Neurospora crassa OR74A: one gene and its partner. Each later gene encodes a partner of the first gene's protein in a complex. Links are inferred from orthologs where the notes say so. Each region holds a gene or a part of one and is shown in the gene's direction. Other genes may lie near its edges.

The links.
Region 2: the proteins of NCU02587 (region 1) and prk-3 are in contact, whole or in part, in a cryo-EM structure (PDB 6XI8), measured with the Saccharomyces cerevisiae proteins. The link is inferred for Neurospora crassa OR74A from reciprocal best matches to the Saccharomyces cerevisiae genes TFB3 and KIN28. Residues at the interface, in NP_010748.3 of Saccharomyces cerevisiae: Phe260, Asn261, Gly262, Asp263, Glu265, Ala266, His267, Ile282, Leu285, Lys289, Glu290, Phe291, Ile292, Ala293, Ser294, Gly295, Phe296, Asn297, Tyr300, Glu303, Arg304, Thr307, Glu308; in NP_010175.1 of Saccharomyces cerevisiae: Leu111, Arg115, Tyr118, Arg122, Phe124, Ile154, Pro155, Ala156, Pro157, His158, Ala179, His181, Tyr182, Thr183, Ser184, Trp229, Glu231, Ser234, Phe235, Pro275, Gln276, Val282, Leu285, Phe290, Lys291.

Annotation. Positions count from the first base shown.
Region 1 is NC_026501.1:2,824,967-2,828,735, reverse strand, and holds NCU02587 (RNA polymerase II transcription factor B subunit 3), read left to right. Parts: upstream 1-1,431; coding exon 1,432-2,520; 3' UTR 2,521-3,042; downstream 3,043-3,769. Other genes in the region: NCU02588 (nuclear movement protein nudC, variant 1), read right to left, coding at 1-94, 220-431, 526-538; NCU02586 (ENTH domain-containing protein), read right to left, coding at 3,740-3,769. UniProt on the Saccharomyces cerevisiae protein: Acts as a component of the general transcription and DNA repair factor IIH (TFIIH or factor B), which is essential for both basal and activated transcription, and is involved in nucleotide excision repair (NER) of damaged DNA.
Region 2 is NC_026505.1:1,998,964-2,003,116, reverse strand, and holds prk-3 (serine/threonine-protein kinase), read left to right. Parts: upstream 1-1,505; 5' UTR 1,506-2,004; coding exon 2,005-2,200; intron 2,201-2,274; coding exon 2,275-3,302; 3' UTR 3,303-3,508; downstream 3,509-4,153. Other genes in the region: NCU03660 (FK506 suppressor Sfk1), read right to left, coding at 1-403, 499-525; NCU03658 (secretion pathway protein Sls2/Rcy1), read right to left, coding at 3,739-4,153. UniProt on the Saccharomyces cerevisiae protein: Catalytic component of the TFIIK complex (KIN28-CCL1 dimer) which is the protein kinase component of transcription factor IIH (TFIIH) and phosphorylates the C-terminal domain of RNA polymerase II during transition from transcription to elongation after preinitiation complex (PIC) formation, thereby positively regulating transcription.

The DNA of each region.
Region 1 (3,769 bases):
TTTCGAGATGGATCTCCAGGGCTTTTTGACCGGCGGGAGCGGGGGACAGCGTCCAAGTTGAATCGTCGAGGAGGATCGGGTGGGGGAGGTCGCCCTGGTTTTGTGGGAGGTGTCAGAATCGAGCTACTCGGCATGCGACATTGGGTGGTATGGTATAGGCGGCGTTGGAAAGTTGCAAGGGTTGTGATTTGTAGATATGTGGGCAAGTAGGTTGGTTACCTTGATGACGGGCTCTTGACCCTTAATACCAGCCGTAAGAGACTGCTTCTTTATCTCAACCACCATATCTTTGCCCTTTAGGTTACCAGGGACGAGGATGGTGATGTCGACGTCGCCAATCGTCTGAGTCCACTTGTAGGGGAGAGCCTCCTGCTCGGCTTGTTCCTTGGCGCGGGCAGCGGCCTCCTCGGCGGGGGTGAGCTCTGTTACGTCTGACATTGTTTGGTCAGTTGACTAGTGGGACCTGTTGATGGCGGATGGACTTTCTGGTCTTGGGAGCAAGAGGAGTTGAGCTCTAAAACGCACCTTTGTCAGCCATGTTGAAGGTGGTATTGTTGAATTCGGTGTAGATATTGGGCAACGACGGCAGCTTGGTGCAGTGGTGCAGTGGTGCAATGTGCGGTAATGTAAGTAGAAGACGATGGAACGCGCCTGAACGCGATGACCGAATTTCTGGAGGGGCAGGTAACCCGCATGGAACGGCTGCGGCCGCCCAATCCCAATCCTAGGAGCTGCCCGCGAGCGGCTGCTGTCACTGCCCTGGTAGCCCCTGCTCACCCCACGCTTGCCCGCGTCCAGTCCCCTGAGACAGAGCTGCCAGATGAGCGCGGCAGAGTGCCGTGCTGTGAATGATCTGGGAAGCCCCACCCTGCACCGCCAGGGTAGCGTCCATTGGAGCGCTGGCGCGGTTGGGGGCCAAGTGGAAACAAGGATTATTCAGCCCAAGCATAATAACTCTTATCAGTCCCTCTTTCACCACATCGTCAATCTCACTCGGGTTTCACCCAGACTTCCACTTGGTTGATTTTCATCACCTTCCCTATCCACCGTTGATACATGACTGCGTGACCCGGAATTTCTGCCTAGCCGAGCTGGCATTTTAGAACAACATTTCATCACCTAACAAGACGAGTACAAGTCCTCGTCGCCAAATCACGATCACCAAACAGATATAAAAGAAGATTTGGGCCGCGATCGCCACTCACTCACCGACACATCAAGAGACGTCCCGAGTTCTCAGATACGGACTACTGTCCCTTCGAAGGGAAACGCCCACTCCTCGCTATAATTCAGCATACATTTCTCTTGGCCATCATTTAACCTTTGGAAATCCCACTTCAGCACATCGATCCCCGTCTCCTCGAAGCGAAATTATCAAAACAACCCCCCCCCCCCCCCCCCCCCCCCCAAAAAAAAAAGAAACCACCCACCATGGCGCGCCCTCTCGACCCCCTCGGCTTCGAAGACGAAATGTGCCCCGTCTGCAAATCGCGCAAGTACCTCAACCCCGACATCGTCTTCGTCTTCAACCCCGAATGCTACCACTCCATGTGTCTCAACTGTGCCAACCGACTCTTCAACGACGGACCCAATCAATGTCCGCACGCCGGCTGCAACAAAACGCTCCGTCGCAAGGGCTTCCGCTCGGCTTTTTTCGGCGACTTGGCCGTCGAGCGCGAGGTCGACATCCGCCGTCGCGTGGCGGCGGTGTTCAACCAAGTCGAGGACGACTTTGAGACGCTCCAGGATTATAATAATTACTTGCAGATGGTGGAAGATTTGACGTTTGAACTTGTCAATGGGACGGATGAGAGGAGACGGCAGGCGGAGGCGCAATTGCAGGCATGGGAGGCGGAGCATAGGGCGGATATTGAACGGAATAAGAAGGCGGGGAGGGAGGCGGATGAGATTTCAAGAGTGAGGCTGGCAGCCGAAAGGGATGCTGTCAGGCAGAGGAGGATTGAGGCTATCAAGGAGGCGGAGGCGGAGAAAAGAGAGAGGGTGAGGAGTCGCGAAATGGAGCTGGATAACCTGGCCAAGGGAACCACTGCTATGACAGCGGAGCCGGCGACGAAGGTACAGCTAAAGAGGCGTGGGCAGGTGAATCGGGTTGCTGAAACAGCTTCCAACCCTGCCATCGCAACAACGGGAATGGGCACGGGCGCGTCGGAGGTTGAGCGTTTGTCCATCCGCGGCTTGAAGGAGAAGCCGAAGGCGCCGGCGCCACAGGGCCCGTACGACCCCTTTGGAGGCATGGACTTCGCGCCTAGTCGGTACAAGCTACATGGAGGCTTGAGTCACCCGCTTATGGAGAAGTACCGGTTGGACAGACAGCACGTTGCTGGTGGGTACAGCTTTGACGACTTTGCGGCGCGCGCCTTGTATGAAGCGTTTGCTGGGTTGGGTGTGTTTGTTGAGGATGAGAAGGAGGTCGGCAGTGGTATTGGGCTGTCACAAGAGACGAGCATGGCGGCGGGGATCGCCGCTGTGGTTGACGCGGATAAGATGGATTTGGACTGAGAGTGGTTCTGGACCGGTATGCCCCGGCCTTTTGGTTGGCGGTAATGGTGTTTTTGTTGCATAGCGACGGCGTTCACTCAGCGATTGAATATTTTTCTTTTTCCTCTCCGACGGATCTGGATTTAGGAACACACATGAGGCGGGACCAGCATCATATAGATCAACTTCAGACTCGGTGGTTTTAGAGGGCGCAAATATTCGGGTCTGCTGTGGATTTCTGGGTTCGAAATTCATTATGCGAATGGTCGCAGTCCAGCAGCCACATAAGACAGAACTTGGCGAACTGCAGTACATTCACTACTCTTTGCCACCCATCAAGCCATCTGTCTACTTGTAAGGAGTATCAAGGTCACTGAAGACCACGTTTTGTGTGAGGGATTGGGACGACGATGATGATGGAGAAAAGAAGAAGAAAAAGAAATTCAGACTAATAAGAGTGCGTCGATTGATCACAAAAATGCCCAAAAAAATATATAGATTAAGATTTACCAAACAAAAAGAGCCTCCAGGCTTCCCTACTGCAAAAATGTGTATGCCTCCCTTGCTGGCCATTCCTGGAGAGAGTGTTGGCAGCCAATCCTGAAAGTTTTGATGGTATGACCATTTATCATACCATACCTCTTTCACTCCTTTATCTCGAGATGCCCGGACCCCATTCCACCGTTTTTATGTAGCGTTCCATTCCAACTATTCTTCCCCCCTCCCCCTTGCGCTGCGCTGCTAAGCCTTGTATCTGGCCCTGCTCGTTAAGAAGCACTCGACGGCGGAAAAAAAAGCCTGATCTCTTCACAGTCAATCCTTGACTGCCTTATTGCCACCCATTTCGAAGGTACGAGCATCAAACCGCCCTGCTTACCCGAACATTGGCTGTCCTTTCGGTAGACTAAGGAGGGGCACCGTCAGAAGACTCGCGGCAACAATACCGAAAGATCAGGATTGCCGAATCGAATAACGAAGGCGGGTGAGAAAAAAGAGCTGAGCTCAAAAAATACAAAATAAAAGAAAATAAAACAAAAAGCAAAAGGAACGCCGCGCTAGATGCGTGACTTGCCGGTTCGTGTCATCCCGAACAAACCAGACAAGCCATAAGGAAGACAAGAGAATGACAGAAATGCGGGGCAGTGTGCCTGTCAACGACATACGCTTGGCCGTATAGCCCTTGAAATCCAAGATCAAGAGAGCTAAGCGTTACGCGGCTGTCAGAGGAGACATCCGCTCATCATTGCTGCCATGGCGTTTGCTGTGCTGG
Region 2 (4,153 bases), on another chromosome or scaffold:
TGACGTACCCGGCAATGAACAGCAGCAGGAAAATATCGTGCAGCCGGGGGTATCGCGCCGTGTCAAAGATGCTCAGCAGGATCAGGCCGCAGGTGCCGACGATGGCAAACACAATGGTTATGCCCGAAAGAACCTTTTCCGTCACGGTGGTGTTGGGCACCAGGCGGCCCTTGTGGCGGAGCCAGCGGTCGGCGCCGAAGGAGAGGTCCAGGAAGACGGTGGTTACGGAACAGCCGGCGATGAAGAGGGGCTTCAAGGTGGAGGCGCCAACGTCGGAGATGTAGGCTATGGTTTGCCGCGCGTCCATGGAGGCATAGTGACGTCGGTTTTCGTCGGTGCACCAGTAGATGAGCAGGCCGAGGAGGGTGCCGAGCCAGACTACGCCGGAGATTATTGGAAAAATCTGGAAAAGGGGCATTGTGTTAGCTTAGCTTGGGGGAATGGGAATGAGAATGGGAAGAAGGAAAGGATGGATGGGGGGTGAAGGTGAAGGTTTACCCAATATGATAGTATCCCTCGCAACATCTTGACTGAGTTTGTTATTCTGTCTGATGTCTAGGTGGTTTGGTGTACAGAATATGATGTAACACGGGTTCTGTGCGCCCGCAGCTTCGCTAGTACACTAGGTGTAGATGCACGAGCAGAGATGCAGGAACAAGGAACGAGCGTGTAGGAGTTTGGACGAAGCACGTCCCGTCGTTACGAAGTGTATATGGTCGTAACTAAGAGACCTGAAAATCGTAGTCGTAGTAAAGAATACCCAAGGGTTGAGATGCTGACAATGGAAGCTTAAAGAATGTTGGAAGCTCGGTTGTCTCGGCAGCCACAGTCGACTGTTTGGGTGCTAGGTATGTATGTACCACGCTTTGTTGCTTGCGTGTCCAAGGTCGAGTGGAAGTTCGTTAACAACAAACTACAAGAAGTTCTGGATTGACACAAGGAAAAAAGAAAGTCAAAAGGGGAGTAAGTAGGACGAGATGAGATGGACTGCGCACAAGGGGGACCTTAAAGGGTTATCCCGGAGTTATGTTTCTGGAGTCTATTGTAATCTAGACACGCTATGATGCTTACTCTCGCGGATTACTTCCTTGTCTCTGCCATGGCATGGGTTTCGTTTTCATCATTGTTCTTTATTTTTTTCTAATCCTAGCCCAACGGATGATCTCCGGCTTGTGCCCGGCGCGCGGACTGATGTCGACGCCCGTCCACGAGGAGGAAGAAGCCTTCACACTGCCACTTTGGTTGGGTGAGAAGTGACGTCAGGGTCCAGGCGCCTGCTCATCCCTGTGGAGCACTGAGACTTTCGGGGTTTAGCGTGTCTCTTGCTGGTCTATCCTTACGGCTACAGGGGTCTTTGCTTGTTAGTGCTTACCTAAACGAGTTTGACGGTGTGACGGTGTCATCGGCGGGCTGGGCTGGGCAGGGCATCCGTCGCGCGGCACCGCGGCAGAGGTTCCCTTGATGGTGATATGCATATATATCATGATAAGATATCCAAGTTGATATGTGAAGAAACACTGCGGATGTTTTGATACCTTCTACCCTCAAAGACAGATGTCTTTTTATATATGTCGGGATGACTGAGAAACAAAAATGGAAATCGCTCTAGTCTCCAAACACCAGCGGGCAGCAGCGGACCCACAAGACATACGGGGATCCGGGCCTCCACTGGTTGACAGGGCCCTTCCACCGAACTCCATCCATCACAGCGCATCCATCTGCCAAAGCTTAATCCCACTCTCTCTTCCCTTATCCTCCGTCCTTATCTTAACTCCGTCTATGCAACGCTGCCTCTACGAAGCTGCCCAACACCATCAACAACAATAACAAAACAACAACTGAACAGCCACCGGTCGTTGATCTGCCGTTGACGCCCGACCTTCTCTTCCCATCGAGCCCGTCTTTTCCCCGCGATCTCTGGACTAAGTAGGTAATCGACTGTTTTGGCATCACTTTACACCGTCCGCCCGAGGGTTGAAGCACCCGAGAGAACCAGCCAGCAACATGGCGAACTCCCCTCTTGTTGCGCGTCCGACCGATGCGCTCCAGCCACCGAAATCCCTTCCGCCATCCAGCGGCGGCACCCCAAGCGGGGGACTTCCACGGTCGGCCCGGGGCCAGCAGATCGCCGCCTTAGCCCGCCCGACTATGGATCTGATGGAACAGATGAACGAAGACGAGAAGAACAAATACATCAAGGGTGCGTTGTACTCGGTCATACCAACTCTTCCAGTGGGAGTTTATCGAACTAACACATATTATCGTGCGCAACAGGCAAGAAACTCGGTGAAGGTACCTACGCCAACGTCTACCTCGGCCACTCCCGTCTCGACTCCTCAACACAAGTCGCCATCAAAAAGATCAAAGTCCAAAAGGAATACCAAGATGGCATCGCGCCCGACGCCATCCGCGAAATGAAGTACCTGCAAAAGCTTCGGGGCCACGCCAACATCATCATCTTACATTCCGTCTTTTCATCCAAGGACCAGAACCTCAACCTCGTCCTTGAATACCTTCCCCTCGGCGACCTCGAGATGCTCATCCGCGACGTTGACCACGTCCGCTACGGCGCCGCCGACATCAAAGCCTGGATGGGCATGCTGACTCGCGCCATCTGGTGGTGTCACGACAATTACGTGCTGCACCGCGATATCAAGCCCAACAACTTGCTGATCGCCGCCGACGGCGAAGTCAAACTGGCGGATTTTGGTCTAGCACGGAGCTTTGCCGACCCCGGCGTGCGAATGACGGCGAACGTGATCACCAGATGGTACCGTCCTCCCGAGCTGCTGTTCGGCGCCCGCCACTATTCGGGTGCCGTGGACATTTGGTCGGTGGGTCTGGTGTTTGCCGAGCTCATCATTCGTGCCCCTTACCTGCCTGGTAACTCGGAGGTTGAACAGATCGCCTTGATCTGCAGGGAAATCGGCACGCCGACGGAGGAGAACTGGCCTGGTGTTACGCAGCTGAAGGAGTATACGGTTCCCAGCGACGTGGTGCCCGTGGCGGGCAAGGACAAGTACATGGGTCGGTTTGGCGCAGTCGGGTCCGATGGCGTGGATCTGTTGACCAAGACGCTGGTTTTGGATCCAAGGAGGCGTATCACGGCGAGGGAGATGCTGGAGCATAGGTGGTGGAAGGCAGATCCCAAGCCGACGCCTAAGCATGACCTGCCGAAGAAGACGGCAGGGGCCGAGGAGAAGTTGGCGGCGGATTTGAAGAGACGGAATGGTATGGTGGAGGACGACGATGTGCGCGGCTCCAAGGTCGCTAGGAAGTTGGACTTTGGCACCGCGAGGTGAGGAGGCTATGGACGAGGGTTACAACTGAAGTATGATGACAAGCATTTCTGGAGAAGGCATGATCTACTTATGAAACGGATACACTGGGTTGGAAAGGTCACATACAGTATGCATGCACGGCATTGACAATATAGAGCAAGAGAAAGGCGTTTGGGCGCATCACACATATCATCAGTCCATAGACATCAAATCGGTTTTGAATCACATCTACGGGAGAGTCTCCTGACATGTAGCTCGTAAAGCGGAAAATGTGTATGTGATGCTTTGTCATTGATTGATATAACCCTCATATCCTATTTTCTCTAGGTACTTTTATTTTTATCATGCTCTTTAATCCAAAAAAAAGTAAAGATGCTCGCTATTCGTTAAATCTTCTTCCTCCACACTCTTTCTCCTATTACCAAGGAACACCCTTCGATGGTCCCTCCCTACAACCTCACATTACCAAACACTCCAGCCCATACATAGCCCTCTCCACCTCCTTCCTCACATTATACCAATCCGCCCTTCGTTCCGCATACTCGTACACCTCCTCGGCTCTAAACACGCCACTAAACCGCTCGTTATCCGCAATAATGGTCGCCATTTCTTTGGCATGATGCTTAGCATCAATCAGGTAAATCTGACTCAACTCCCTCAGCGCTTTGAAATATGCTAGCAGGTCTTGGTTTTTCAAGGTGCGGATGTACTCGTAGTAGAGATTCACGTCGGCAATGAGCTTGATGGCGCCCTCGGTCGAGATGCGCTGGCGCTTGAGGTGCTTGCATACGGCGGTAAAGAGACGCAGGCCGACTTCGCCGTTGAACACGTCTAGCATCGATTTATCGGTGGATCCCGTCAGCATCGAGGTG